3 linked regions of the Caenorhabditis elegans genome follow. The protein of the gene in region 3 interacts with the protein of the main gene of each other region in a biochemical or structural test. Each region holds a gene or a part of one and is shown on either strand. Other genes may lie near its edges.

The links.
Region 1: of the proteins of aak-2 (region 3) and crtc-1, one has a biochemical effect on the other in vitro, tested with the Caenorhabditis elegans proteins (one study listed by BioGRID).
Region 2: of the proteins of aak-2 (region 3) and daf-16, one has a biochemical effect on the other in vitro, tested with the Caenorhabditis elegans proteins (one study listed by BioGRID).

The regions. Positions count from the first base shown.
Region 1 is NC_003279.8:2,022,000-2,033,785, reverse strand, and holds crtc-1 (CREB-regulated transcription coactivator 1 homolog), read right to left. Parts: upstream 7,471-11,786; 5' UTR 7,374-7,470; coding exon 7,272-7,373; intron 5,962-7,271; coding exon 5,884-5,961; intron 5,581-5,883; coding exon 5,449-5,580; intron 5,398-5,448; coding exon 5,192-5,397; intron 4,113-5,191; coding exon 3,774-4,112; intron 2,137-3,773; coding exon 1,659-2,136; intron 512-1,658; coding exon 386-511; 3' UTR 38-385; downstream 1-37. UniProt on the Caenorhabditis elegans protein: Transcriptional coactivator for crh-1, the homolog of vertebrate transcription factor CREB1. Regulates the transcription of metabolic genes and may have a role in mitochondrial dynamics and metabolism. Involved in modulation of lifespan.
Region 2 is NC_003279.8:10,747,065-10,755,818, reverse strand, and holds the start of daf-16 (Forkhead box protein O), read right to left. Parts: upstream 5,322-8,754; coding exon 5,310-5,321; intron 5,257-5,309; exon of another isoform or gene 5,248-5,256; coding exon 5,164-5,247; exon of another isoform or gene 5,114-5,163; intron 4,926-5,113; coding exon 4,835-4,925; intron 4,782-4,834; coding exon 4,631-4,781; intron 3,401-4,630; exon of another isoform or gene 3,262-3,400; intron 2,754-3,261; exon of another isoform or gene 2,607-2,753; intron 1-2,606. UniProt on the Caenorhabditis elegans protein: Forkhead-type transcription factor. Binds to the promoters of genes that contain the daf-16/FOXO binding element (DBE), TTGTTTAC, in their regulatory region.
Region 3 is NC_003284.9:16,792,183-16,803,770, reverse strand, and holds aak-2 (5'-AMP-activated protein kinase catalytic subunit alpha-2), read right to left. Parts: upstream 7,683-11,588; coding exon 7,540-7,682; intron 6,657-7,539; exon of another isoform or gene 6,597-6,656; intron 4,065-6,596; coding exon 3,901-4,064; intron 3,726-3,900; coding exon 3,257-3,725; intron 3,083-3,256; coding exon 2,964-3,082; intron 2,739-2,963; coding exon 2,633-2,738; intron 2,544-2,632; coding exon 2,438-2,543; intron 2,389-2,437; coding exon 2,181-2,388; intron 2,080-2,180; coding exon 1,768-2,079; intron 1,358-1,767; coding exon 1,206-1,357; intron 1,023-1,205; coding exon 921-1,022; 3' UTR 380-920; downstream 1-379. Other genes in the region: Degenerin mec-4, read left to right, coding at 1-54, 194-379; got-1.2 (Aspartate aminotransferase, cytoplasmic), read left to right, coding at 10,659-11,056, 11,322-11,588. UniProt on the Caenorhabditis elegans protein: Acts as a sensor that couples lifespan to information about energy levels and insulin-like signals. Role in motility and response to oxidative stress. Involved in the establishment of germline stem cell (GSC) quiescence during dauer development.

The sequences.
Region 1 (11,786 bases), on a different chromosome or scaffold from region 3:
AGTGAGAGAGTGTGAGACACAGAGAGTAATAAAATTATCGATTTTTTTTTCAAAAATTAAGAACATTGAAATGCGTGGGTGGAGAGGTGTGTGTTTGGGGGCTTCGGAAATTCGTCTTTTATCACATTTAATTGTTGTTTTGGAATTCTGGGGTATATTTCGATAAAAATAGGCGCCGCCACGTGGAATCTCGTGGCGAGGGGCAAGAGAATTAGAGAGACAGAGAGAGAGAGAGAAAGTGAATGAGAGATAGAGACATGGTGCCAGGCCCATCACGGTTTGATCTACAAAAAATGCGGGAATTTTCAAAAAATGCGCATTTTTTGTAGATCTACGTAAATCAAACCGAAATGAGACACTCTGACACCACGTGCGTGGGCGGGACCTAATTTTGGAGCATTTGTGTACCGCCCGGATCATGGAATGAGTTGTTGGGTGTTTGGTGGTTGGATATTGTCTGTGGCGGCGCTCCGTTACATAACACGCTGTCCAGTGAGTCGAGGCCAAGATCCTGTAAAAAGATGTGTGATGCAATTGCGCTATATTGGACAAAGGGGGTTTACGGAGTCTCGCAGCGACTTTTTTTATATTTTTTTCCAAGAGTTTCGTTCTTTTATAACCACAATTCAGCGGAATATAGCTATTTTGAAATGGAAGAGTTTTTGCCGAACTAGGCCATTTTGGCTCAGTAGATTTACGGCGAGTTGCGTGTCGCGTCGCGGCTCGATTCTAGTTGTGAAACTAAATGTATTTGTCGTGTAGTACACGACTTTCCCAGTCCGGCGGGCGATTGTCAATGGAGCGCGAAAAATTCAACGAGGAAGACCAGAACGACCGCGAAACAAAAATTGGTGGCCGAGTTTTGTTTTTTGAAAACCATAACTGATAGCATAGAAAACTAAAAAAAAGATGCAGAAATTTGAATTTTTTTTTGAAAAAAACCGCATGGCCGAGAAAAAAAATTGATGGCCGAGTTTTTTATAATTACGAAATTTCAATAGAAATCAGGACAGGAACGTTTTTTTTCGAAAAAAATCTAAAAATTTAGGCGTCGAGTTGTTTTTGAATTGTTGAAACTTGTGAAAACTTAATTTTTGTCTTGAAAAGTTTGAAAAAATCCGAAAATTACGATCGCCACGTGACCGCGAAAGTGAAATTGGTGGCCGAGTTTCAGCAAAACATGAGCAAAAATCGGCGGAAATTTTAAAATTAAAAAAAAAAATTTTTGGTCTCCGTTCAAAATTTAAGACTATTTTTTGGCTTACAAAAAACAAAATTTCGCTACTTTAATTTTCACGTGGGGTGCCAGGGGCCACGTGGTGTCAGAATGTCTCTTTTCGGTTTGATCTCCGAAAAATGCGGGAGAAGAGACGCAGAGTTCTCAACTGATTTTGCATGGTTAAGAACGTGCCGACGTCACATTTTTTGGGCAAAAAAAATCCCGCATTTTTTGTAGATCAAACCGTAAAGGGACAGCCTGCCACCACGTGAGGGGCTGTTCCATTACGGTTTGATCTAGAAAAAATGCGGGAAATTTTAGCTCAAAAAAAATGTGACGTCAGAACTCTGCGTTTAAATTCCCGCCTTTTTTGTAGATCTACGTAGATCAAGCCGAAATGAGGCAATCTGACACCACGTGAAAATTCAATACAACCTACATTAAAATCATTATACGAATCAACATGATGCCCAGGTGCACCTTCAGCATTTGTAATTGTCAATTTCGGAATATCCAATGCCTCCGGTGAATTGGAGAATGTTCTCGTCGGCCACATGGGCGGTTGATTCGGATCCAATTGATTATGCGGTGACGTCGGCGCCGACTGTGATTCGGGTGTCAACGCTGGACCGGGTACTAGCCTCGGACCACATGCACCTGTACTATGTCTTGGTCCAATTGGAGCATGATAGTATCCACCACCAGGGGCTCCCCCGTTTGTATAAATTTCCTGTTGCTGTTGCTGCTGCTGTTGCACATTTTGAAGATTGGGTAAACTTCCGGCATCTTGATTGAAATCATGCATTCCGGGAGGACTTACTTCCATATACGGAGAGGGTGTCCCTGATCCATCGAGCATTAATGTTGAGGCATGGGGTGAATCCATCGGTGAATGGAGTGGTGAGCCATTATGATACCTGGAAAGTATGCGGATTATCGTTTGAAAAAGTGTCATTTTTTAGGTTTCCCTCATATTTTGAAATGGAAGAGTTTTTGGCGGACTAGGCCAGGCCATATCTTGGGTAGGTTTACGGCGCGCTGCGTGTCGCGTCGCGGCTCGGTTTCAGTGTCATTGTGGAGTACACGACTTTCCCACGCGTTTCCCGAAGCCGATTGTCAATGGAGCGCGAAAAATTCAATGAGAAAGGTTTTTTAAATTCCGCAAAAACTGAAAACTCGGGCATGATGAAAAATTTGAAAAAAAACCAGATAGATAGATTTTCCAAAAAAAAAAATTGCCGGCCAAAAATTTTTTTTTTTTCAGATTTCATAAACAAATAGGCCACGCGGCCTTGAAAAAAGCTCGGCCACGTTGCACACGGGGTTCTGGCCTTCCTCATTGAATTTTTCGCGCTCCATTGGAAATCTTCTGCCGGACAACGCGTGGGAAAGTCGTGTACTCCACACGGACAAATGCATTTAGTTTTACAACTAAAATCGAGCCGCGACGCGACACGCAACGCGCCGTAAATCTACCCCAAATATGGCCTGGCCTAGTTCGGCAAAAACTCTTCCATTTCAATTTATGAGGGAAGCCAGAAAAAAAAAACCGAAAATCTACTTTTTTTAAAGGTTTTCATTCGAGAAAATCGCCCAAATTACTGAATTCTGTTATTTTTTATTCGAAAATTTACGTGGCCGGGCATATTTGCTACAAGAGAAAACTCGGCCACGTAGCAGTTATTGGTGTGTTCTAAAAAATCCGGAAATAGGCCCCGAAATAGGGAAACTCGGCCACGTGGCAATTTCAAACGAAACTGCTGATATCAGTCCCATTGGAAATTTTACGAATATAACACAATTTTGTAAAAATTTTGCAAAACTTGAAATGGAAGAGTTTTTGCCGAACTAGGCCATTTTAGCTCGGGCACGGCCGGGGTAGATTTACGGCGCGTTGCGTGTCGCGTCGCGGCTCGATTTTAGTTGTAAAACTAAATGTATTTGTCCGTGTGGAGTACACGACTTTCCCAGTCCGGCAGGCGATTGTCAATGGAGCGCGAAAAATTCAGTGAGGAAGGCCGGAGCCCGTGAAAAATAATATTTTAGGAGCCTGGAAAATTGAAAGGTGGCCTAGGAAGTACAGAAAAGTTTAGAAATATGGGACGGCCTAGAAATTTCAACATGGCCTAAAAACTTTTGATGGCATAGAAACTCCAAAAAAGTATTAATGAGGAAAGAAAGAACCCCGTGCAAAGTGTCTGTGTAAAAAATTGGTGGCTGATTTTTTAAAAAGATTTTTGCTGGTCGGCACTTAAAATTAGATGCTGAAATCGTAATTTTACGGGTAATTGCTCAAAAAGTTTGGTTGGAAAACTCGGCCACTCGGCCACCACGCCACGGCCACGTAAACTTTGCAACCACGTGGAGTTAGAAAGTCCCATTTAGCTTTGATCTTCGAAAAATGCGGGAGGTGAGACGCAGAGTTCTCAACTGATTTCGCATGCTTAAGAACGTGCTGACGTCACTATTTTCTGGGGAAAAAATCCCGCATTTTTTGTGGTTCAAATCTCCAACTTTATATCCCCGGGCCACTTAAACTTTGCAACCAACTCACCCATACATAGGTGTCATCATATGATTAGGTGATTGTAACGGTGACATTCCATTATTGCCTCCGCCCATTTGTTGGTTATTGCCCATTTGTAATGGTGGAGGTATCTGATGATGCATCTGAACCGGTGATCCTTGCTGCGATCCTTGAGGTGTTAACTGAGGTGAGTGTTGTTGTGATTGACTGTTCGGAGCCATCATTCCAGATGGTCCAGGCATCGAATTTTGAAGATAATGAGGCATTTGATGAAATGCCATTTGTTGTTGTTGATGGTGATGTGGATGCATTGGAACCATACCGCCCATGTTATGAATTGCAGGATCCGAACGTGCACGATTGATTCTGCAAGGTCAAAAATTGGCTCTGATTTTTCGAATATATATATTAAAGGATTAAATTCAGCGAATATTTGCAACAAGACTGCCCGACTTTCGGATACGGGTAATTTAGGTAGAAAAATGGTTTTTTTTTCGTGAAAAAGGCTGTGAAATGTCAAATAAATATTGAATCGAATATCAAAAAAATTGGTTCGGAATTTTTTTCCAAAACTTTGTTTTGTTAGTTAAATTACTATGTGAAATTACAGACTCAGTCATTGCGTATTGGTGTCATTAAAGTGATGAAAAATATTTGCAAAAATGAGTTTTTAAATTTTGAACGGCTGTAACTTTAGAAACATGCAAAGCAGGGTTTTTTTGGTTTTTTTTTGCGAAAAATTAATTCGAAAAATCTAAAAATTGATTTTTTGGTTTTTTTTTAGTCCAAAAAATCCAAAAAATGTTTGCCGTGTCGAGTCTCGACTCGTGACTATTCTCTATTAGTAGGGTTATTCAAGTAGTGTCGGAAAATTGAAATGTAGAAAAATTACGTCACAACTGTATCAGAATCCATTAAAACATGTATGTTAATACATTTTGCAACATTATTTGAATAAACCCATTAAAAATAAACTCAAGCATCAATATTTTTTGGTTTTTTTTTTGGATTTTTGAATGTAAAAATAGTAATTGCCACCTTTTGACAGTAAATAAAAAAATTTCAAAAAATTTGGCCACCTTGTTTCATCTATACCCATTTCTGAGCTACGACGGCCATTGGAAGTGTGCTAGGTACACGTTTTGAAAAAGTCCAAATTTTGGATTGTAATTCCAAAACCAGTTATTTGACAAAAAACTGTCTACTCAAAAAACAATTTTCAACTATTTATAAACGTTTTATAATATCCCGTTTGTTGTCAAAGATTCAAATCGATAAAGAAAAAATACAATGTTTTAATACGAATAATTAAGGCAAAATTAAAGTATAAAAATGTAGTTCGCAAAAATTTGCATTTGAAATTAAAAAAAAAACTTCTCGCTGACGCTGATTTTTAGAGAAAAAAAACTCAGTTTTTAAATATTTATCAAAATTCAAAAACTCACTGATTCCACGACTCGGGCGGCACAAGCTGTCCAGGTTGGTTATACGGGGGTCCATAGGGCGTATACTGCGGGTGTTGGGGAGGCGTTCGATCGGGCGATCGTGATAATCCATTCGATCTCATTCCATACGGATGATAGTGATGTGATGGTGATCCAGATGCACTTCCGATCATGTGATCCTCTGGTGATCGACTTCGATGTCCTTGCTGTAATGGAGTTCGTTGCTGAAGAGATTTACAATTAGGAAAAAAACTTACGATAGGTCTGTGTTGAATCTCGTGCTGCCAATTTGGTGGCCATTGTGGTGGAGAGTAGGATGGCATTTGATGGACGTTCGGCAGGGATCCTCCGAGATTGTGACCCCATGGTTGTTGAGGTGGAAGGAGACCCTGGAATATGTTCATTCAATAGTTTATACTAACATTTGAATAATTGTAACATTTTGATTTTAAAGGTGGAGTACCGAAATTTGAGACTTTGCTTTTTTAGACCTAAAATGATACAAAACTACCAAATTCCGTAATGAGACGTTCTGAAAATTTCTAAAAAAAAAAGGCAAATTCTTTGGAAAGTTTCAGGCAGTTTTTGAGATATTTTTCAAGTGTTTCGATGAAAATGGATGTTATTTTCAAACAGAAAAAATATGTTTCTATATTTCCACAATTATTTTCACTTTTGTAGATTCGCCTTACCTGTTGCGGAATGGGCATTGGTGCAGTTGCCGTCGATGATCCTGATGAATCCGTCGGATGATGGGTGATTGATTGCACCTGAATAGAAAAATATTGGCATCTTGCTACTTAACATTTTTACGGCCATTGTCATTGCGAAAAATTTTGAAAACCGGCAATTGCCGAAATTGCCCAAAAATTCATAAACACGGCAATTACCGAAATGGCCGAAATAGTCAGAAATTTCAATTTTCTGCAATTGCCGAAATTGCCAAAAATTGCCAAAAATCCATAAAACCAACAATTGCCGGAATTGCCGAAATTGCCGGATATTTCCAAAACCGGCAATTCCAGAAATTGCCGGAAATTATCATTTTTGGCAATTGGCAAAAATTTCCAAAACCGGAAATTTCCAAACTTACCGGTTGCCGAAAATTTCCAAAACCAACAATCGACGAAATTGCCGATTGCCGGAAAGTAACAAAACCGGCAATTACCGGAATTGTCGATTGCCGAAAATTTGAAAATATTAATGTTTGAAGCACAAGTAGACTATAAAAATGAAATAAAAATTTTATTGATCTACGACTTCCAAAAAAGTGGCAAAAACGGAGATTTTGCCTATTTTCAAAAACTCATATAAAATTTAGAATTTTTTTTTATTTTAGTTTTTTTTTTTAATGTTTTGAAACAATTGGCGCTATTTCAGTAGACATTTCCAATTTTTCGATTAATTATTCGATTCGAGACAATTATATTTTTCAAGTAACTATTATCCGCTTTTGATACTAAAAAATTGAAAGTCATGACTTTGATGAGTTTATGAAAAAGTTGAAAAAAAAAAATTCTTCGAGTATAACTTGTCAGGGGCGGGTGGCAAACGATTTTTTCCGGCAAATCGGCAAATTGCCGGAATTAAACATTTCCGGCAAATCGGCAAACCGGCAAATTACCGATTTCCCGAATTCGCCAGAATAACGGTAATTTGCCGAAAATTTTCGGCAAATTGTGGTTTCGCACTATTTTTTGGAAATTTCAGAATTTCAATTTCAAATGGCAAAATTAAACGCATCCTATGAATGTTCCTACATCTATTTTGAAAAGTAAGCATATTATATGAAAATATCTAAAGAAAACGTTTTTAGATTTTTCCGTCTTATAAAAAATCCCTCTAAATATTTCCGGCAAATCTGGTAACCGGCAAACGGCAAACCGGCAATTTGCCGAACGGCAGTTGCGCCCACCCCTGGTACAACTGTTAAATTTCTTTAGTTTCGCCCAAAAAATTATTTTTACTAATTTTTTGTTAGTTCTCAACAAATGTTAAATTTTCAAATAAAAACGCAATTTAGAAAAACAAATTTTGCATTATATATATATATATATATATATATAGCTAATTTCCAAACCTGTCGCATAATATCCTCAAACGTTGTATTCTCCTCATTCTGTTTCCTCTCGAGTATTGCAATCTTCTCACTGAACTTGCGTGGTGTATTCGAATTTGACATTCGCATCGCTCCCAGGGAGAGAGCGATTTCGTCGGTCTATTTCCGCTATACTTGGGGGAAATTTCAGATGGAGAATTCAAATGTTTCGATGTTTTTCCTGCAGGTGATTGAAATGAGTAAAATAAAACGAGCAAGGGAGAGAGAGACGGGAAAAGATCAGAAAATGAAAATGAAATCCGAGAGCTGAAGGAGGAGGTGAGGGTGGAGGAGAAGCCTTGAGAGAGAGAGAGCACTTTCAGAGATTAGACACACATGCACACAAGGATATATATATATATATCTAAAATCGGAAAATGTGTCGAGAGTAGTATGGGGGAAATTTGGGAAACATTGCATTGCGAGAAAATTTCATTTTGCCGAGGAGAGCAGCGTGACCGATAAAATTTAAAAGTTCGGCCACTATCTTCTTATGGCCTAGTATTTTGGAAAATTAGGCCATCAGGAACATCAACGGTATCCCCACGTGACCTGGCATGGATTTTCTCATAAATTTAAATGGAAGAGTTTTTGCCGAACTAGGCCATTTTTGCTCGGCCATATCTGGAGTAGATTTACAGCGCGTCGTAGCTTCATTTTAGTTGTAAAACTAAATGTATTTGTCCGTGTGGAGTACACGACTTTCCCAGTCCGGCGGGCGATTGGCAATGGAGCGCGAAAAATTCAATGAGGAAGGCCAGAACCCCGTTACCTGGGATTTTATCAAGTTAGGCATGGAGTAAGTGGAAAAGTTCGACCCAGGGTTAAAAAATATAGAAGATTTTTCCTTGTGGCCTAAGAAGTTGAAAAATTAGGCCACCTGGAAAGATGGCCTTTGAGTTTTCCCTGTAGCCTAGTTTTAGGAAAAGTTAGGCCACCTGAAAAAGAGGCAAACTAATTTAGAAAATCTAGATGTGGCAGATAAATTTCGAAAGTTCGACTTTTGGAAACTTATTCTAAAATTAGAGAAGATTTTTTCTGGTGGCCTAGGTTTAGGGAAAGTTAGGTCATCAATATTTTCTTTAATTTTCCCAAGTGGCAGAACAATTTGAAAACTTCGGCCACCAAAAACTGGTTGATTTTGGGAAGTTAGGCTATTAGTTGAGAGGTCCCTGAGATTTTCCCTCGTGACCAAGAAAAGTTTAGCCTGGAAAATAGGTTTTTGCACAATATGGCCGAGAATACATAGAAGTTAGGTCAGATTTCTTTGTGGCCTAGGATTAATGATAAGTTAGGCCATCAGTTTTTCTACGTGGCCTAGAAATTCAATTTTTTTCAGAAAATTTTTTTGAAATCCCGCCAAAATTTTTCTCAGAAGATTTGAATTCCCGCCAAAATTTTTTTCAGAAAACTTGAAAAAGGCTCGTGTACTCCACGTGTACAATTTTTTTGAAAAAAATTAACGGAACAAAATATTTCAACACAAATTTAAATAAATGACTCATCAATAATTTTTTTTTGAAAATTTTAACTTTTTAAAAGCTATACAAAAGAGCAATTGCCACGTGGCAATTAAAAAAATCTAAAAATAAGCTGGAAATTGGCTGAAAAAAGAGGAAATCAAGGAAGCTGACACATACATAAAAAAAGAAGAAAAAAAAAGCAGAAAGAGAGAGAGAGAGAGAATAGATGGTGGTGGCCGGTGAGAGACTTAGAGAAAAAGACAAAAAAGAGCATGTGATAAGGCTAAGGGCGTTGTGTGTGTGTGTGTCGCTCCGAAATGAGTGAGAGAGACGTTTACCACTTATTTCGGGAAGTGCTCAGCGCTAAATTTAGGAGAGATTTAGTTTTTTTTTTTGCCGGAAAAATAACAAAAACTACAAAAAGATTGAAATTATAGGGTTTTCTCAGCAAGTCTAGATATTTAACATTTTCGCAACATATAATTTAAATTTTATGTAAAAAATTTGGTAAAAACGTGGCCGTGGCCTAGAAAACCTGATATATGGCAGAAGTTTAGCAGTGTTCTAGACAACTAAAAATAAAGTTAGGTAATATAAACATTTTTATTTTTATTATTTCAGATTACCTGTCAGTACCAAACAAATGAATTGAGATGGAAGAGTTTTACCGAACTAGGCCATTTTGGCTCGGCCATATCTGGGGTAGATTTACGGTGCGTTGCGTGTCGCGTCGCGGCTCGATTTTAGTTGTAAAACTAAATGTAATTGTCCGTGTGGAGTACACGACTATTGTCAATGGAGCGCAAAAAACTCAATGAGGAAGGCCAGAACCCCGTGGCCTAGGAAGTACAAAAAAGTTTAGAAATATGAGATGGCCCAGAAGTTTCAAAATTGTCTAGAAATTTCAACATAACCTAGAAAACTTTTGATGGCCTAGAAATACCTTAAATTTTCAGGTGACCTAGACGGAATATAACCTTGCAGGTGGCCTAGAACTTCCAGCATGGCCTAAGAATCTTAAAACAGAGGCCTAGAAATAAGTGAAAAATCACACTGAAGCAAAATTAGCAACGTGGCCTAGAAATTTCCTCTTCCATCCATATACAGTTTAGAAATATGAAACCGACTAAAAATTTCAACATGACCTAAAAACTTTTGATGGCCTAGAAATACCAAAACCGTCTTAGTTGTGGCCTAGAAATTTGGAATAGGACTTTGCAAGTTCGAAAAAAGTTCACAAGTTTTAGGTGGCCTAGAACTTCCAACATAGCCTAGAAATCTTAAAACAGAGGCCTAGAAATAAGAGAAAAATCACACTGAAGCAAAATTAGCAACGTGGCCTAGAAATTTCCTCTTCCATCCATATACAGTTTAGAAATATGAAACCGACTAAAAATTTCAACATGACCTAAAAACTTTTGATGACCTAGAAACACCAAAACTGTCTTAAAATTTTTAAATGGCCTAAAAATCTTAAAACAGAGGCCTAGAAATAAATCAAACTAAAACAAAATTAGTAGCTCAGAAATTTCCTCTTCCATCAATACATCACGTGTAAAAATGCGCTCTTCTGATAGGTTTCTTATTGTTTTTTTTTTCGTTCATCCAGTAAGGAATCCCATGATGACATCATGTGCTTCTTCTTCTTATCGTTTTCGCATAAAATATTGATGAAAACTTCACTGGGGAAAGGGAAGAAAAAGACCAAAAAAAGTGAAAAATTGTGTCTGGACGGACAAAACAATACAACAAAAAACTGGAAAATGTATTCAAAAAAATGCAAATTTCAGCTAGTTTTCTAGTTTTCTTTCAGTCCAAAAGATGAATCAGAATTTTTTTTTTGAAATTTCCATATTGAAAAAAAAAATGTTTTTATGGAAAGTTTCCTTTTCTAGACAGTGAAAAAGGCATAAATTGAAATGGAAGAGTTTGCCGAACTAGGCCATTTGGCTCGGCCATATCTGGGGTAGATTTACGGCGCGTAGCGTGTCGCGTCGCGGCTCGGTTTTAGCTGTAAAACTAAAATCAATGAGGAAGGCCAGAACCCCGCGAAAAAGTTTCCTTTTAGAGGCTTTGGGGATTTTAGGCCAAATGTTTTCTAGGCCGTGAAAAAGGTTTCCTAGGCCACGAGGATATATTTTTTAGACGTTTTCTACGTTTTTCCAGGCTACCAGGATATTAATAGGCAAAGTCCAAAGAGCTCACTCGATAAAAAGTTTATACATGTATTATTGCCCCGCCGCCGGAAATATGTTTCTGACATTTTCCAATTTTCTTTCTACTGCGAAAAATCATGGAAACATTAATCAAAAAACCCCGATTGAATTACCTAATTTTCCGGAAAAATCAAAATAGATCAACTTATCAATAGAGCGCAGTTGCTGCAACATTTTTCACGGGGTTCTGGCTTTCCTCATTGAATTTTTCGCGCTCCATTGACAATCACCCGCCGGACTGGGAAAGTCGTGTACTCCACACGGAAATATACATTTAGTTTTACAACTGAAATCGAGCCGCGACGCGGCTCGATTTCAGTTGTAAAAAAATCCGTAACCAGTTTATCAATAGAGCACACTTTCGAAATATAATATGCGTACAATTTTGCATATTTATGAAAAAAAAGGGCAAATTCGCAACATTTTTAGGCGGTTTATGTAAATTTAAATTTGCGTTTAATTCAGTGATCATTGTGGGAAAGTTTTAAAAAGTTGGAAAATTCCCCAACAAAAAGAGTGGGTGAAAAACCAACAAAGAAAAATCTAAAATTCAAAGCAAAAAGCGGAAGACTAAAAAGAGCTGCATTTTCCGGAGAAATTCCGGGAAAAAACCAAAGAAGAAGTGACAACAAATGAGCTGAAGTTCCACGTGGCAGATTTTTTTTTGGAAAATTTTGAGTTTTTTAAACTTGGGGCCGTGGACTAGTTTTTGAGGACGATTTGCATAGATTTCTAGTTATTTATCAATGGAGCGCGGTTGCTCGTACAGTTTTTTAAAATTTATGAATTTAAAATTTTTTTAAACTCAAAAATTTAAA
Region 2 (8,754 bases), on a different chromosome or scaffold from region 3:
AAAAAGTTTGCAGTTACCATAAAGATTTATGCCAGATCGTCGAGTAGTAGAAAGGGAAGCGGGAAGAGAGAAGATCTTTCGATTATCAGCAGGTGACCCATTAAATATTGTTTTACGAGGGGAGGTATTGCAGTTTTAGTTTTACGAGTACGGTACTTGAAAGTTCTGGTAACAGATGCTCAAATTTCGAAGCCGTAAACTTATCTAACACCGAACACCACAATAATTGAAAGGCTCAAAAACAAATGAACCCAATCATTTGGTTTCTATTCGTGTGAGCGGTCCTTCTTCGTTTCAGTTAGTTGATGGTAATCCGACACCTCTGGCTTCTGAAGTCTGCACACACACACACAATCGTCAAAACAACTCTATTCGTTTACTCAATTTCAGTTTCTCTGTTTCCAATTCGCCACAAAAGACAAGAAAAACGACGAGAATGAGGAACAAATGTAGAGAATAGTGGGAGACACCAGACTATTCCAGGAAATGAAATTCACCAAAGATTCGAGGAAAATCAAATGAACTTTCTTTTTTTTTCGTAGGTGACCTTTTTTGTGTACATAATCTAGATGATGGAACCATTCACATGAAAAACAAAAAAGCGAAGAGCAACAGAACCATGGCATTTGAAATGCAATACTTCCACCATTTTCAGATGGAATGGATAGTGTGTGTGACTCATGACTCACATCGTCTGGAATTCCAATCAGCTCACTCTTTTTTTCCAGCTCTATCCGTCTCGGAATCTCCAGAATCGAAAATTCGAGATGTGAGAAAGAGTGAAGAGGAACAGACATTTCAGCTGCTCATGTGACATGGGACCTCTAGAAAAGCAAGGGCGTCAAGCGTTAACGGCGTCTCAAAGTGTTCACTTGGTTTCCTAGAGTATACCAAAAGATGGGCTCTGGGGTCTGAGCTTTTTAAACTTTCAAGAAGCTCGAATAAAAATAGAAGAAAGTGCGTTGACTGACGAACAACGAAAAGCTACATGTTTCATAGAACATGATGGTGTGGAATGGATTTCTCATAGAATGAAAATATATTGAAAACTCGATGTGATCATACTCATCAGAAGGAAGGAAGAAGCATGAGCAACATGAAGTAGATGATCTTAATCCTTTCATCCTCTCATCATTAACGTCATCATAGATTTCACGTTGACATTAATCAGTGGGGAAAAGCTGGAAGGAGTGAATGGAAGATTACGGAGAAAGCTTATAACATCAGAAGAACGTGGGAGTCACGTGGTTCCGTGAACTATCAACTTTTTAAGCTCGATGAGTTTCAGATAATCCAATTTACAGAATCCTCAAAGAAGCGAACACTAAGGTGATAAACATTTTGTTAATCTTTATCCGATGTGCCCATCATCAAATCTGTTGAATGATTTGAGCAAAAAAAAGACGAATCACATGCTCATTTCATCAGTGTTAGAAAATAAGGTGATCGTTGAGAGACGAAGGCAATCGGAGAAATAGTTGAGCACAGATCGGAACCGATAGCATTGATAGATCTGTGTGTGTGGGATCCAAGAGGTTTAGGGCTCAGTGAGCAGTAAGAAGGATATTGTTGAAACAACTGATAAAGAAGATTACAGTATTCTAGGATACATTTTCATATAATTTTCTTCTTATCTCAGATGGCTAGATGGAAAATTCGAGACTAGAAACTTGAAGAAGACTGATAAAACTATTCCTTCTTATATTCTCGAGGCACGTAGACATCTAGACACTCGGCAAAAAAACCTCCAGGGAGGAAAAAAGTACATCGGTATTCCCATTTGGTCTCGTTTTTCGATTCTCTTCACAAAAATCGAGAGGAGACATCGCGAATCGAACACGGGGGAAACCGGTTTTCATTTGCAGAGACAAAAAAGGGAAAGAGATAACGATGGCGACGACGACAGGGGAAAAATGTTGCGAGAGTAGCGATGTTGGACAAGTTGCTGCAATATTTTGCACTGAATCGCGAAAAAATTTGGTTAGGATTTCCCTTTTTGTGATGAATTCATTATATGAATAACGTCATTGGAAGACTTTCCGACAAAAGAAATTTTTTTTTTGAAAAAAAAAGCGTTCCAAAATTCCGAAAAAAGCGAACTTCATGTTCCCCGTTTTCACTTTTATTGGGTTGTTTTTCAGACAGACACATGCCAATACCATTTGTGTGTAAAGTGATGGGTTAAAAAGTCAACAATGATTGCGGGGAATTTTTTCGTTGTTGTTGGTTTCAACAATATTTGAATTCCAAAAAAAAAGGACCAAAAACTATAAGAGCAATGTATAACAAGAGTTTCATCGGAGTAACAAGAAACGGGAGTGTGCGGGGAGAAACAGAGAGAGGGCAATAACAAAAGTGCAAAACCAAGAGAGAGTCTAGTTCAAGTGCGTTATTAGTTAGCAGAAACCTAAAGATTTTTCGTGGGAGGGGCTTTTTACAGTAATTTCAGATTATCACATCATCTAGTTTACGCCTAGAACTCTGACCTTTGAAACTGTTTTTTTAATAATTTATTTTCAAAACAGAATATACAACGTCACTTGCCGTTTTTGTTCTTTTTTGATTTTTTACATGAGAAAGAAAAATCGGTGTCAACGCGTCTGACTGACTTTTATCTTTTGCAGCAGGCAATTGATAAAGACGCCTGGCAATGTATGATGAAATGATCAAAGACTGTCAGTATGTTGACAGTCAAAAGGAGCTTGATTATATAGCGCAATGGAGTGGGAAAGATTTCGTGAGAGTACAAAGAACAAATAACTCAATGGTAATTCCGATAAGCTAGATCTAACTGATATTTTTGGCCACCAGATTTTCAGGTCGACTAAAAAAAAGTGAGGTCTCGATCAAATTTCACTGAAAATCAGAGCGTAGGAAGGAAGAAGGACTAAAGGCCAAAACAAACACTTTCACTTTCACCAGAGAGAGGAGGCAGCAAAAAAAATCACAGACAGACCGTGAGTAGAACACACTACTTTTTTTCCTTTTTTTTCGACGCGAGTCTATCCAGACAACGAGACACTGAAATCCAATGGGACGTGTATAGTAGGAAGGCTGAGTGGAATGACAATTAAATTAAAGTACCGTACTGTGTGAAAATGGTCGATATTGTAGAGACTCTTAATTCAAAAAAAATTGGCTTGGGGGCACAAGATCGCCAAAAAAAATATTTTCGATATGATATTCCCATATTTAGAATCAACACTTAATTTTAAGATGTAGAGTTAGTTAAAAATTCCAAATATAAAAAAAGCGACTTTCAGGCGTTGCCTGAAACTTTTCAAGCTTTTTTAATAAAGGTATATGATTTTCCTACATTTCTGTTTTAATTTTTGATTCAAAAAATTTGAAATCATACAGGAATTACCAGTTCTGCCAAAAACCTCCTTATTTCGAAAATTTGAATTTTCTAAAATGGAACCATAATAGGTACTTCGTTTCTGTTCTCTGATTTTCGACCTATCGTCTGTTCTAATCAAAAACCCCGCTACAACAGTGTGCAAAAAGTGCACTTTTCCGTTCTCAAATACCACTTGCTCTCTCCCTTTCTTTCAAATGTTTGCCATTTTGTGCTTCCTTCCCGTAGAGAGAAGAACAGCTGATGTGACAGAACAGAGAGAGAGAGACAGAGAGACTCTGTCTGGCAATACAGTGAGGGAGCAAACGCGTGACAGTTTTCGACCTCTGAACGTCACACCGTATACAATGTTGCACACAATGGTGAGTAATTGTTGAGACGGGCGACGACGGTTTTTAAAAGAAATGGGGTTACTGTAGAGAGAAATTATTTTTAGAACGAAAATACGATTTCTGTCTTTAAAAAAGTTGAATCAGAAACTCATGATATTAAAGTTTGCATCAAATCTAATTTCCAAGCAATCAAAAGAGAAAAGAGAAAATAGAAAACCTAATCACCAGTTGTTTGCAAACTGCAACTCCGCGAGAAAAAAAAAGAGAGAAAAGAGTCAAAAGATCGGGGAAACCCCTTTAAATTCTATTTGCCTCTCCTCCTCACATGCACGTGAATTTCCCGTGTGCTTAGTGGACCAACAGCTGACAATAGGCTTGTTGGCCTATAAAAGACGAAAAAGTGTTAAATGATTAGAAACAAAAAACAACTAAAACAGTGATGACATCAAAGGGTTTTCCCTTAAACAAATCTCGAGGTCAGCAACAATGAGAGAAATCACTTTTGATTGTGCCAACCGATCGGAAATAAAATGGAGAAATTGGAAGAGTAACGAAAAAAAGAAATTTCGATGATCAAAAATCAGAGCGAATGTGACAGATAAAAGATGACGCGACACGACCACAAGAATTGAAAAATCAGAAACAGTAAAAGGTCAGCTGAGACCTAAAATTGAGAAAAATTCAAGGCCATTCGGCATATATATATATATTTCTATATATTTTTTTGTTCTTTTTTAATTTAAACATTTAAAATTTTGAAATTTTGAAATTTTAAAACCGAGGCTTGTTCACAAGCCAAAACTCTTTCAAAAATTGATAAAAAGGGCAAAAATCATCAACTTTTATAGCGTTTGTCCTTTTTCCACGAAACAATGCTTTTAGTGCAATTCGACTTTTATGAACCTTCACAAACCACCTAAAAATCTTAAATTTGGCGTACCTAGTTCTTCCGCTGTCAACAGTCTCTAAAGATGTGTGGAAATACGGAGAGAACGAGCATTTTTCGCGAAGAAATTGTTGAGAATACTGGGTTACTCCGCCAAAAGAAGCCGAACGCTCTTGTTGATGGAGGTCGAGATTGAAGAAATCATCTGAAAAAAAAACAAATAAAATTGGAATTTACAACTTTAAATCACGAATTTACCGTCAAAATCAGTGGAAAAACTCATTCCGGAATCAGGCCTTGCCGGTTCGAGATTGTGCAGTGTGATGTCAGATGGTAGCGGCGAATCGAGCTGAAAACTGGGCAAATTAGACGAAAAAAGCGCGCTTTTTTGATTTTCAACTGTAAAAGCTGTGTAAACTTCCACGATTTCGCACAAAATCGGGTTCAAAACAACTATTTTTAGCAGCGAAATGAAGAAAAATAGGGAAAAATGATTGGAAAAAAATTTCGAAAATTTGAAATTTAAACTGCGAGTATACGGTAGTTCTCGATGTGTGTGCAAGGTGTTTGCGTATGCGGCGCCATACCTCACGACAGTTCCACGCTTGCATGTCCTGTGAGAATTTTTGCAGAAAATTTCGGCACTTCGAGCAATGTAATGAAGACTTTTGCTGCAAATTTTAGTTTGATTTTCAATTTAGAATCATAATTATAAGCAAAAAATGTTAAAAACCTCGAGTTGCATCATTAAAATACAGATAGAAATTGAATAGAAGTTACAATGAGGAAATTAATTTCAAATGAAACGTTTTTATTTTGGATAATTTTGAAATCTTAACTAAAAATGAACATTTCCGACGTCTCGAACTGATAAAAAGAGAGAGAGAAGAAGCTTATTTTGACATAAAATGTGTATAGAGGAAGATTTTTTTGCAAAAAAAAAGTTTCTTATCACAATCCATTTTTGCCCACTTTTCCACCATTTTTTCCATCACATGTTCTCGTCAAATGATGGAAAAGTAAACCGATATGTCTTTCCTTGAGAAATAATATGAAGAAAAAAAAAATAGAAAAGAGGACATTGGGAATGCTTTTTTTTCTCGTTGGTTGGCGGCCGGCGACAGAGGTTTCAGAGATCAACTTCTGAGCGACCCCATGCGAGAGTTGTTTACGAGAAAGTGCAAAACTGTTTTATGAACTTTGAGACGGAAAAGAAAAAGGGGAAACGAAAAAAAGAAGATATAAAGCGAAAAAGCAGCAAGCTCGCCCCAAACGAACTCACTATTAGGAATAAAACATGAGTTTTTTAAAGAGAGGAAATCGTGAGAGAAGATTTTGGTAAAAAAATGATTTCAAGAAAAAAAAATCAGAGTTCGTAAATCTACACTGTGCAAACACCGGAGTTTACGAAAAAGTACAGAAAATATGAAGGTTTCAAATTCAAATTTTTTAATTAAAGAAAGGCGAAAATTTCTTTGAGCTGGAAAAACTTTGGAGAATATATTATATTTTTTCGAAAAAAAAAATATTTTTCTAAAAGTATATAATATTAATTTTGGTTTTTTTTTTCTTTTTTTTTGAGGAAAAATAACAGTTTCTTACGAATTTTTTTCATAAATATAGCAGAAATGTAATTAAAATTCGATTTTTTTTTGTAAATTTCCTTGAAATTCTGTCAATTTTCCTTCTTTTTTTTTGAAGAAACACCTTTTTCTAAACATGTCGTTAACAATAGTTCCAAAAAATTGGATTTTTCTCGTAAAACTTCGAAGCACTTTGGTTATTACGGGAACACAAAGTTTTTAGAATGCGTATTGCAAAACATATTTTACGCGCAAAATATCTCGTAGCGAAAACATGACTACTGTAGCGCTTGTGTCGATTTACGGGCTCGATCTTCGAGATGAATTTTATTAAATCAAAGGATTTCGAACATCGAGCACGTAAATCGACATAAGCGTTAGAGTAGTCAAGTTTTCGCTACGAGACATTCTGCGCGTCAAATATGTTGTGAAATACGCATTCTCACAAGTTTGTGTTCCCGTAATAGAGTTGCCGATTTTTTTTAAAAGTTTTCTAATCTCCAATTTTTGGCAATTTTTTTGCTTTTCAAAGAAATTTTTTTTTCTTTTTTTTCTTTTTTTTTTTTTTTCATAATAAAATTGCGCGTAAAATTAGATGCACTGACTCCACCCCCACCAATAGATCAAACTATACGCGCTAAGTCTTTTCAATCTTTCTAAACAATCTTTTGCTGCATTTTGTAAATAACTGAAAAAGAGCAGAAAACATGCAAAACATAGAAAACACTCATGTTTTTCACAAAAAAATAACTTTTCAAAAAACACGACGAAAACTATTTTCAATTTGCTACGTTCTATTTTCAATTGAAAACGATCAAAAAGTGTCTCTTACATAATCATCTGACGGTTATTTTCGTGGATCATCATCAAAACCCACCTGTCTTTTTCTTCTTCTCCGGGCACAGGAGAAGAAGAGGAAAAGACTTACTGAATTGTGTGTTAAAGTACACTAGACAGAGAAACAAGTCAACAAAAACGGGCGGAGCCACACATAGATGCCTCGTCATTCACGTGCGACCCTTCTTGCGCCCCGCTCGCTCTCTTTCTCCAAAAAGTGATCGCTTAAAATAAGAGATCACAATTGTGGCGGCGGGCGCCAATGTTCCCGCCGGTTGCCCTGTGATCTCCGAAATTCAAACCATGAAACTCTTTTCCATTCTTTTTTGTGTATGTCTGTTTCAAATTGTTAACAGAAAATGTGATAAGGTATCGGTGTATGATCCACTAGAAGGGTCTCCCCATATGAATATAATGTGAACCTATGTTTTTTTGCAAATTTAGTTTGAATTGTTGGGGAATGGGTATCATGTGCCTTTTCGTCTGCAAAATGGGTCTAGACGAATCGAAAAAAGAAGAGAGATACACTCTCTAGCAGATGGGCCTTCCCCCCACTGAATTTCAAATTTAGCAGGTGACCGTTGAGATGTACTGGGCCCGTTTTTTTTTCGAATAGAGGAAGTGAGGGATGGCTTTCGGGAGATAAACAGATGTTTTCACTACGGTGATGCACATTTGCTCTACCGATATTACGGAAACAAACAATTCTATTAATGCGTATTGCGCAATATATTTGACGCGCAAAATATCTCGTAGCGAAAATCACTGTAAATGACTACTGTAGCTCTTGTGTCGATTTACGGGCTCGATTTTCAAATTTAAATTTAAAAAATTTCGAAGGAAAGTGAAAAAAAAAGTTTGTTCTCGCAGTTCGAAAATATATTTATTTCAAAAATCGAGCCCGTAAATCGACACAAAGCGCTACAGTAGGTATATAAAGGGTTACTGTAGTTTTCGCTATGAGATATTTTGCGCGTCAAATTTGCTGCATTCTCAGAATTTAGTGTTTCCGTAATAAAAAAACGAGAGAAATAGGGGAAAATTTAAAGATATGCATGAAGTACGGTAGTTGAAAATTTTTGAGCATGTCAGGACCGAAAAGTTTAAGAAATCTTTTCTCTTATTAACTAGAGTTCCAGAAAAAAATTTTTTTAATGAAACTATACTGTAGTTTTCATAAAACTACTGTAAAACTGTCAACTGGCAAGACCACCACGGAAGAGCCAAGATATTGCACTAAAAGGATTTTTCTATTATGTTGTGAAACTTGAAAGAAAGAGATTCTGGTCACTGGTGTTTGAGGCTTGAACACAATTTTTGCAACAAAAATCTCCTGCTCACCAAGAGAACGATTCGTAAAAGAATTGAAATGTTCAGTTCTTGAAAAAATTTTCAGAGAAAAAGAAATGGAATCGGGAGAGTCAACCCTCTTATCAACTAGAAATGAATTGCAAAAGAGACAAATCGGGAATTCGAAAATAAGTTTGAAACATATTTTTTGCGTCAACACTTTAATTCGAAAGTTCACATCGTTATCACTTTTCTAGGGGCACTTTTCGAGCCGTCTCTCTTTTTGAATTTCTATCACCAAAGGTAATTGCTTTGGAGAATTTGAATTTTAAGTTTATCGTGACGAGACCCATTATTTTACCTTTTTTGGAAGAATTTATATTAGAATTTAAAAAAACCTCCAAAATCCCAAAAATTCTGAACATTGGCCAAGCACATTAATGTCGTCTTGGGGTCAGAGATTTTAGT
Region 3 (11,588 bases):
GTGTTCTACGAGCAGTTGAATTTTGAAATGCTCACTGAATCAGAGGCTTATGGGGTGAGTTGAAAAATTTAGGCAAAGAACGTGTATCAAAGAAATGTATCAAAAAAATTCGAAAAAATGCCGAATTACTACTAGCGAGCAGGCAAAAAAAAATTTATTTTTATTCCAAAAAATTTATCTCAACTATTTCTAGTTTGTCAACTTGCTAGCCGATTTTGGTGGACAACTCGGTCTTTGGTGCGGAATATCCTTCCTTACCTGTTGCGAATTTGTGTTCCTTTTCTTGGAAACTGCCTACATGAGTGCCGAACATAACTACTCTCTGTACAAAAAGAAGAAGGCTGAGAAGGCAAAGAAAATTGCGTCTGGATCTTTCTGAATTTGTTTTTTCTTGTTTTAAAGTTACCATTGCAATGTTGTGTCTTAAAATAAAAATTTACATGAGAATAATTGAATAATTTTGGGTAGGAAATTATTCAATTAATATTTTACTTACAATAGACACAAAGAAGTAGGAGAAGGGGAGTTTAAAAGACAGAAAAAAAAACTACTGAAGAGAAACATATAAAAAACAGAAACAATCACTCGCTGAAGGAAAATCTATTCACAGAAACAAAGGGGGTGACAAGTCAAGTCATAACTTTAAATAATTATTTGTATGGTTACTTGTCAAAATTGGCTGAAAATGAAAGCGGCACTAGAATAGCATCAATTAAAATACGTGGCATTTACGGAGGTGAAGGGGGGAGGGGCAAAACCAAACAGAGTCAAGAAAAAAAATACAAAGATACTGTAAGCTGCAACAAAGTGAACCAATATAAGAAACGGGGGTTTCAAGCTTAATACAAGGAATGGAAGAAATAAATTTTGAGACAGAAAAGTTGAATTTTACACAGAGCATTGTTGGCATCAAGGAGTGCTTAACGAGCCAGTGTTCCAATCAATGCGGCGCAAATCTCAAAGAATTGCATAGTCTGGGAAAGCTTAGCTCCTCCAGGAGATGGTGGTGGTGTCACATCGCACTGAAAATACTCGGTCATTGAAAATTAGTGCGTTAATTATTTAAAGGTAGTGGCATCAACTTCTTGTCACTCGAAGATTTTTAAAAAACCTATAACTATATCAACCACTCCAAATACAATTCCAGTTATTTGTAATACTTCACAATAAAAATATTGAAATAAAAGAAAAATATTAATTCTCACCGACATGTCCGAAAAATCATGCACTTCCATTTTCTCAATACTCGCCTCCATACTCATCGCCTGTGGCATGCTTGACGTTCTAGTTCCACGAATTCCGGCCGGCTTCTGCGGCATAGACATTGATGCGTGTCGGGATGAAGATGCACTGGCGGCTGAAATTTTTAATGAATATTGGTTGAGGTGGAAATTATATATTCATTTGACCCATTAGGAAAAAATGCATACAAAAAAAATCGTCTTGAGAAGACTTGACGCTATTGAAAAAGAATTTCCATTGACCTTTTTATTTTTCCAACTGCAAAGCAAACTTCGTTTTAAACATTTCTGAACAAAATTATTGTGACACGTTAAGCTAGACTACATGCAGAAACTTAGGTTATAGAGGGGCATGTTCAGAGACCATTGCAAAATATTATTCTACGGCTTTTCAAATTCAAATTGTGATTTTAGTTTAAAAAAATGCACTAACTTGTATTTTCTAGTATTTTCTAGAACGATTAACTAAATATTTTAAACAGGTTCCACTTTCAAAAAGTTCAATCTAAACAAAGAAAACCCTTACATCCAGACTCCTCGTCGGCCAAACTCTTGAAATCCAACAAGTAACTTCTCTGATCCACTTGGTACAACTGCAACGACATCTTTGGCGGGTCGGCAGCGGGTGCATCAGGCTTGCGACGAACAATCACATGATATGGGTTGAGCACCTTCCACTCCATGTCCAGCTGCTTCATCGCACGGAACACCTCGAACATGATGTCTTCCGGACGACTTTGGGATCGGATACCCAGATGCCACTTGGCACGTTTGTTGCGGTTCGCGCCACTGGCTTCCGTGTTGTCGAGAGTTGGTGTGATCTTGCTGCTGACTGACGCTGAAATTGAAGATTTAGATATTGTTTTACGAATTTCATGTTCGATGCAAAAGTTTTATTATTCTTTGCCACCAAGAGTTTTTCTATGCACCCTCTCCTACCTGCAATGCGCTCTGGATGGCGATGAACTGGTCCAGGTCCCTTATTCGGCGTCACTTGATAAAACTCCTCAATTGACAACTTGGCAGTCTCATCGGCAATTCTCTTGTTATCAACAATCAAGTTATATGCAATCGACAAATGGTGATGTGGATCATCTCCCAGCAATGCTGAGGTGACTTCCTCTTCGGCGACATGATAGCGCTGAAACTTTTCATTGTGATTAGAAACTTCTGCTCCTATCGAACACGATTAATACCTCAGTGACCTCTCGGACAGCCTCAATATCAACAATGGAAGCCTCACTCTCGTTGATTGGTGGGAACAAGTAGTTCGGCAAATCCTTCTGGAACCACTCGTGAGCACTGAAAATATAAAGCAGTTATTGTCTTGTTTCCTTGGCGTCTCATAGCAACGATGTTTGTTTTTTTTTTCTTTTTAGAAGACCACTTACATGACGTCCTTGATGGTGGCCCTCTTCATCGGGTCTACGCAGAGCATATGGTGAAGCAGATTTACAATTGGGCGCTCCAGAAAGTCTGGAGTTGGGAATACGCCAGCTAAAAAACATATTTCGTGAACGTTATAATTTTTAATGATTCCAATTTAAATTTCAAACATTTATCACCCGGGCAGTGCGCCAAAACATAGTAATAGTGCCTTTTGTAATAGGGATATTTCAATTTTCAAATCCCATTTCGCTTTCATATGTCTAAATGAAATTGGTATGTTGTCGTAATCCTTTGCCATTTTTGTGTTTTGATTCTCATGTCACACTAACGTACATTTAATTTTTCTGAAAAGACTTGGCACGTGCTCATCATCAAATGGCAGGGTTCCACAAAGAAGTGCATACAAAATGACTCCACACGACCATACATCAACTTCGGGACCTGCGTACAACCTGCAAAACAAAGTTGTTGTGTCTAATCTTGTTCAATTACTTTAATTGGATTTCTACTAGTGCAAAATGTCGTCTTGGTGTTTGCGAACACATGTTTCATGTTTTGTTATTCAGTTCTAATTTGGTTTTTATTTTACATTGAACCATGATCAGGAGACCACCATAATCACTCACTTTCCGCTAATAACCTCAGGGGCAGCATAATTTGGCGATCCGCAGCTGGTGCGTAAGAAGTCACCATCCGTCATAATATTTGAAAGTCCAAAGTCCGCAATCTTCACATTGTTCTGCTCATCGAGCAACAAATTCTCTGGCTTCAAATCTCTATGGACAACCATATGACGATGACAGTAGTCAACGCCGGAAATGATTTGTTGAAAGAAGCGACGAGCTTCTGCGGTCTTCAGCCGTCCGTGCTTAACAATGTAGTCAAAGAGCTCCCCGCCGGAAACGTGCTCCATAATCATGAAAATGTCAGAAGGTGTACTGATGACTTGGTAGAGGCGGATGATATGCGGATGGCGGAAGAGCGAGAGGTTTTGGATTTCGCGGCGAATCTTTCCAACGACATCCAGTGACTTGATCTTCTGACGGTTCAGAATCTTGACAGCCACTTTGTATTGAGTTGTCTCATGGATTCCAACTGAAAATGTGAAAACTAGATGAACAGAAAAGAAAGATAAATATGTCAGTATTTGGCAGATTGGGACAAAATTTTTGCAACAATTTGGCAGCTTATGGTGTTGCCAGGAAGTTGCAGCAAATGAAAAAGTTTCTAACTTTCCGGTTTGGTTGAATTTTAAGGTGTTGTAGCTTACCTTTTACTTTACCAAAAGTACCAACTCCGAGTGTCTCCTTGAGAATGTAATGTCCGATTTTGATTTGAGCTTTGAGCTCTTGTTGCTGCTTCGTCGACGTTTCTCCTCCTGGAGACGACATTTTCGAACTGTTGTCTGTGCTATCGCGGTCCTTGCGTTCCTTTCTGAAAACGTACGTTGTTGGTAGGTAAATGATCGTAAGTAAAATCTCGAATTCACAAGTTCCTCAGAATAATTGTTCAGTTAAAAAATCAATAAATACAGTCACGAGGAACCTCCTGCAAATAGCAAAACAACGAGAAAAACAAGTGTATAAAGAGCATGTATTTTTCAAAGATCAGAAATCTAAGAACAAGTTTTGGTGTTTTGAGAACATAGCAGAAACAAAAAATGTCTAGAACTACAACCAACAAAGATCGATGCCTTTTTTCCTTTGGCCGAAAATGTGGTAAAAGGTCCGCCAACCTCCCGCACACTCTCGCGACCCCTACACCTCTCACACGCACACTCTTCTCTCTCGATCTTCCTCGCTCACTCTTTCTCACAATTTTCCTCGTTTTCTAACAACAGACAAACACACACGCACAGCGAAGACAACGAGAGTTGACCATACAGCACAAAGCAATGGCGAGAGATAGAGAAAAAGAGGAGAAAAATAGAAGGGAAAGGCATCCCGTGTGTTCGTTTCCTTATGTCTATCGTCCTCCGGCGCAAACAGCGTTGGTAGGTAGGAACAAAAAAATAGAAAGAAGAAATTGAACTTTCATTTAAATTTTTAAAAAATCTTTAATATTTATTTAGACCTAACCTAAAAAATTGACAACAAGTAGTCAAATGGGAACGAAAACCAGAAATGAGATAAGATTGAAAACCGAAAATCGCGTTTTTCTACAGGCAAAAGTGCAATGTGGACATGATTGATTGATTTTACGGGTCTCAAAGACTTAAAAATTGATAACTGGTGTGGTTTTTGGATGGTAATTTTGAATGGATAAACAAAAAAGCAACTTCTTATCACAGAATGACCATTGCAGTAGGAGTCTCTAGGAAAACCGTATGCCCATCAGGTCTTATGACTGCCGCCCAGACACCAGACACTAAATTTCAAAAACAGCAGGTGCAGTCAGTGTTTTGACATAAATGTGCCGGATATGAATGGTAGAAGAGACAATAGGAAAGGTTCCAAAATCAACACCAATTACAGATTTTCAAAAGGTTGGAGGAACTGAAACATCTATTTTGAGAGAACAAAAAAACATGTAGAAAAACATCATCGAAGGTCAGACAGTGGAGACGATAGAGAAAACACAAGCGCTCAATGAATAATAGCCGTATTGTGTCATCGAAATTTGATACACTCGTAATATAAGTGGTGAAGATAACAACAATAATCACAATTTGATACGACTAGCATCAAAAAGTTATGCATTAAAACTGTGATTTTACTAATTGAAATTGTCAAGTTGGTAGAAAATTAATTACAGACGATTTATGGCATTTGAAAAAGTATTAAAAGAACTGTTACACCGCAATTTTTGAATTTTTTAAATGACTTCTACTAAAACGAGTTAAACTTTAAAATTAGTGAGACTACCAAAAACGTTTCCACTGATAAAAAATTGAGACAATTTTTCTAACTGCACTTTGAAAAAGTAAACTCGGCTGACATCGTAGGGTTTCATTTTGGCCACAAAATTTTGAAATCAATTTTAAGTTGGAACATGTGGTTTTTTTGTTAGATTTATGTGATTAACAGCTGCTCATATTCTCCTAACTCAGCTGAAAGTTTGCCCTTTATATTGGAAATTTAACGTATGTCCATGTTCAAAAAGTGCACGTTTGAAATATTTTTATATTTGTACTAATAGAAGTTGCACAAAAATTTGAGATTTTTGAAAAATATCCACCCTACTGGAGCTAGAACAAAACAACAGAAAAATAATAAAATCCAACTGATCAATATTTTTATAAATTTTGTCAAACTGTAATGTTCAATTATCAAGATGTAGTCTATTTCAAAAACTCAGGAAAAATTTAGCTCATAAGATGTCAGTCGCTTCAACTTTTCTACAGCGGATTTGAGACAATCCAGGGTTTAGAAAAACTATTTAGAAAAATGAGCTTAACTTCTATTTGAGAAAAAAACTTTTTCACAAATCATGAGAAAATGTCGAAAACAGTTTTTTAAAAATAATTTTTGCATTGCATAAAAGAATGACAAAATCGAATCTGGGAGCTTTCAAATTTCACAAGTTCCCACTAAATTTTCCTGTAGTTTCAGCAAGAATATATTATATTATACGGTGAAGCCTCTTGAACTGAATTTCTATGAAACTAAGCATCTCAGATATTTATGCTTTTGTATATAAATTGCCACAAAAAATTGTCGGCTGCAATAAAAAATAATAACCTATATTAAAAGTTTGAGGCTCAAATATTAGACAACAAAATCTAGAAGCTCAATAAAAATTTTCCAACTAACATTTATTCAATTGCCTTCTCGTGATCATTGAAAATATATTCAGTTACTTCACGGAAAACTTCCGAACCTATCAGAATTTTCCTAATTTATGGGAAACTCTTTTTTTTGTTGGAAATTTTGACAGGTCTCCTTGCAGAACGATGAAGAGATGTTAAAAATGAACACTGGCGGAAGAACTCAAGGTTCAAGATTCGTTGGTGTGGTATCTGTTTGTGTTTTTCATGATATACATGTGACTCCATCAAGCTTTGGCGTGTCCACACACACACACACACACACTCACACTCTCTCATACACACAAATACGCAAACGAGATCACTCAATTTACCATGATTTTCAACGGAGGACAAAAAGAAGAAAAGCCTTTTGGTCGCCTCACGCGGGGCGCCAGCCGTCTGCGTCTCACACTATTTTCGGATACGTTGCGGCACGTGTTTTTCCAATGCTAAATGCACGGAAATTGGGTTTGAAAGCGGAATGAATGAGGAGAATCCGTGAGAATACGAAGAAAATGTTGCCAACTAGGTAAAGAGGGGGGAAGTTGGTCCGATGAACGGAGTATCGTACCGCGCGTTGTTTAGTGGAGGGCGGCAGCGTTCCGCGCGGCTCACTTATTCGGGAAGGGCCCCCACATTGTTCGTTTTGCATTAAGGCTCCAGTCTCTTTTCTTTTGTTTTTGCATTGAACATTTTTGCTGTTATCTTTTTCTGTTTTGCTAATCGTAATGGGCGTTTACAAAAAGTTGCTGAAAATTAATATTTAGTCTTTCAAAAACTAGTGATCTAGAAAGTTTTCAAAAAAAAACCTTGGTACGTTATTTTAAATGTGAACAATCTTTAATTCACACAGACAAAACACGGAATTCAGGGAAAATTCAGTATTTTCCCGAATTGGAATCTAATTTGCTGAGGGCCGATGAATTTTTCAATATTTCGTAATACTAAAGTAATTTGTACGGAAAATCTGAGTTGATTAGCTGAGGCGCTAGAAGCATGTTTAATTTTTTCACTAAACTCATCAGTGTGGTTTTAAAAAAAATTAATCTTTTTCACATTTTCAAATGAAAAGAACATCCCTTCTGTGGCTACCCATCGCAAAATTTTAGAATTGCGGTTTTTGACTTCCCTTGACCCCCCGAAAACCCCTCAAAAACTAACCTTGACTTTGCCGATAGCTTTCTTGAAAGATTTTTCACGCGATTAAGTCCACTTGGCTGACTCCGACTCTTGGATTTCATCTCAGTACCGTCTCCACCACCGTCCTCCTTCCTATCGCGGTCTCGATCTTGATGAGAAAACATTTCTGAAAATAGTCGGTTATTTTGAAATGTAACCTAAAAAACGGGCATTAGAACGGCAATGTTAGACCTTGAAATCCAAAAAAAGAGAGAAAAGCCACTTTGTCATGCGCAGAAATCGGCGGCGATGGTGATGACGGAAAATGTGAATAAGCATATTTTGGTGGCGTTTTTTGGTTTTTCTAACAGCTCGGCTGCTAAAAAGGTTTGCTGTGTAAATAGAACAAGTACTCACCGAACACTTTTTTCATTGTTTTTCACGTCGAGAAGCAGCGAATTTTCTTTTTTTGAAGGGATAGCTTTTTGAATTTTTTTTTAGCTATTCAATGCAACATAAAGCAATAGAAAAAATGAAGGAGAACAATTGAAGCTAGCTCTCGAAGAATGTTTGATGAAAGCGAAAACTTCACTTCGAAATTTCAATATCTAGTGGAAAAGGTTTTCTAAAACTAACAGGGCGAATATAGCCATCTTTTTCCAAAATGCCATAAAAGTGGAAATGTAAATGAGGGTATGAACATTAACAATTTTTTTGACACGTTCATGTGAACAAAAAATTCCACCCGCATAGTTCCATATTTTTAGAAATAACAAAAATTGCCTAATATCACTTAATGCTCTAGCTCTAATCCAGTTACTAATCCTTATTTCAAAACGATTTTTAAGCACTTTTCAGTGCTTTTTCCTTCCTCTCGCCAAACAAAAAGCAAATATGTTCAGATGCTCGAGTGCAACGCACTGAAGCTATATTTGGCAGAATACCAAAAAATCGATTCAAAACGCAATGTAACAGCGCGTGGAAAGTTGAAACAATGTGATGATACCAGAAACATTCATAATAAATTCTGGTAAAGTGAGCCCTCCTCACTTGACGCTACTGTTTGTGAGTATCAGACTCGGCGACTTTTGTCAAAGTAATCGGATCAGAACGGGGCAGTGTATTGGTATACCTCCTGCCACAAGGCACGTGCCAGACAATATGAAACAGTATATGCGTTTTATTCAGTCTCTATTTTTTTCGCAATTCCCGCAGGGAAAGTCACCTGCCAAGCTTACAGCTTCTAGGAAAACATTATACTTTAACAACTATAGATAAATTTTGAAACTTAAAAGTTACTTGTCAACGAGAGCTCATGATACGAGAGCCAACGAGAGCGCGGGAAAAAAAATGAGAGGGAATAATAACTTTGAACGATGGGACGAGTTGAAAAGTGTCATATTTCGGAGCACAATGGTTTTGAGCACACTCGGCGTCCAAGTGATGAGAAAAGTTTACTTCTTCGTTAGACACTTGTTGACTTGCTTTCTTTGTTTTTGAAATTTTTGTTCAATTTCCATTTTTCTAACAACTATCATTATGTTTGTTTTTGTTGCCTCTTAATTGTTAGTTTTGTGAAAAATCCATGTCCATGTTCATCTTTATTGATTTTAAAAATTTTCAAATTAACTTCAAAATCATTAAAGGCCACCCATTAAAGTCGGTGACTAAAATAATAAATCAGAATGTGCTGAAAAAATTTTTAGTTGTCGTAAATTTTACAAAACTTTGTTGAGAACTTCGCCACGTAGAATTGAGGCTTTAAGGCGGCCCGGAGGCGCCTCTTATCGCCTTTTTCTTTACCTCTTCTCTCACCCTTCTTTCTACCGGAAATCTTGTATGCAAATTCTCATTACGGTGAATATTTTTCTGTGATTTTTTTTCATTTTTACTTCTCATTCATTCAAAGGCGTTTACCGGGCGGAATGTTGTTTAGTTCTCATCCATATTTCTAAATACCCAGCAACTTGGATTTTCTCGTGTATACTGTTCCATTTCTTTTCATCATGTCCCGCCATCATCACCCCAAAAAGAAAACCGATTATTTTTCGTTTCGAAAATTTACATAAACATGTTTTTCCGCCTGGCCACGTGAGATTGTTATATTTATTTATCTAGGCGGTTTCGCACCATCACTCATTTCAAAAGGTCATTTTGCCAATAATTTTTGAAGTGGTCGTTTGGTTTTTGAATCTTTGAAGTTCACGAGGTAGTTGTATAGGTTAACCTTGATTCCTTTTGTAAAGGGATTTTGAAAAAATCAGCTCTTTCAAGGTTTTTCTATAGGCAAAAACAGAAGAAAACTTCCACTAGAAAATTTCAAAAAAAAAAATAGTTTTTCATTTTTGGTGAGGGAATTTTGATATAATTTCATTTATTCCTAGGATCTTATTACATTAACCTAGATAAATATCCAATCTTTTTTTTCAATTTTCAAAAAAGTAATTTGCCTTATCAAAGAACACTTTGAAACCCTCACAAATGACACATTTCGATCTCATTGCGCTGCGTTTTGCCCGTTCTCTCCACCTTGCCATCACGTTTTCCTCGAAATAAAAATTTTCAAAATGGTCACGTCTCGAAAAACGTCTCTGGCAAACAACAACGCTGCCTCTCGTTTTCTACCCGCATGTGTTGTTTTCTCGGAAATAGTGTGTGCTTATTGGAGGGCGGGCCGACGAGAAAGAGTTGTCGAGAAGAGGCAGTCCGTTTTTGAGACCCCCTTTCCTCAATTTGTCCGAAAACTAGGCAAAATTTCCTGTAACTTTTGTTGTGAACTGTCGACTTTGGTGCAATAGAAAGTAACCATCTAGTTCAGTCTTGAAACTGGGCCCGTAGTCTTATCAACACACGTTTCTGTTGATTTCTTGAGTGCTAAAATAAGAAAGTAGAAAGTTTTACGTTTCTTATCGTATAATAATTTTTATCATCAAATCGATTTTTATTGGAAACACCTAAAACGTTTTTTGTTTCCAAGTAAATCCTCTCGAATGTCGATGAGGTGACCTCCTTTTAACGTGGTCATTTTTCGATTTTGATCTCTTTCGCTATATAAATACACCTCATTATCGCGTTTTGCGGCATACCGCCACTCTTTTCATCTCTTCAATTTCTATAACTAAACTTATTGATTTTTTTTAATTCCAGAAACAACACTCAACATGTCCTTCTTTGACGGAATCCCAGTTGCTCCACCAATCGAGGTGTTCCACAAGAACAAGATGTACCTCGATGAGACGGCTCCCGTCAAAGTTAACCTGACAATTGGAGCCTACCGCACAGAGGAGGGACAGCCATGGGTGCTTCCAGTCGTTCATGAGACTGAAGTCGAAATCGCCAACGACACCTCGCTCAATCACGAGTATCTTCCAGTTCTCGGTCACGAGGGTTTCCGCAAGGCTGCCACCGAGCTTGTCCTCGGAGCCGAATCGCCAGCTATCAAGGAGGAAAGATCGTTTGGAGTACAGTGTCTCTCTGGAACCGGAGCTCTTCGTGCTGGAGCCGAGTTTCTTGCTTCAGTGTGTAACATGAAGACCGTCTACGTGAGCAACCCAACATGGTAAGTGGTCGAAAAATCGGAGCCAAACATACTTATCTGATAAAATATAACAAGTCTTGTATTGGCCAGAGTGAGTAGCAGTCAACCAGAACTTCAACTTCTTAAAATAGCCGCCCAATTCTTGGCAGTATTACCATAAACCTAGGTAATCTAGGTAAAAAATGAGTTTCAGCAAGGCTCTTTCAAAGAGGTGTAAGGTACTTTTCCTGAACCTCTGATAATGCTGGGCGAAATTCATCAAATCATGAATTTTTATCATTTTCAGGGGAAATCACAAGCTTGTCTTCAAGAAGGCTGGTTTCACCACCGTCGCCGACTACACCTTCTGGGACTATGATAACAAACGTGTGCACATTGAGAAGTTCCTCTCCGATCTTGAGTCAGCCCCAGAGAAGTCTGTCATCATTCTTCACGGATGTGCTCACAACCCAACTGGAATGGACCCAACTCAGGAGCAATGGAAGTTGGTTGCCGAGGTGATCAAGAGAAAGAACCTCTTCACCTTCTTTGACATTGCTTACCAAGGATTCGC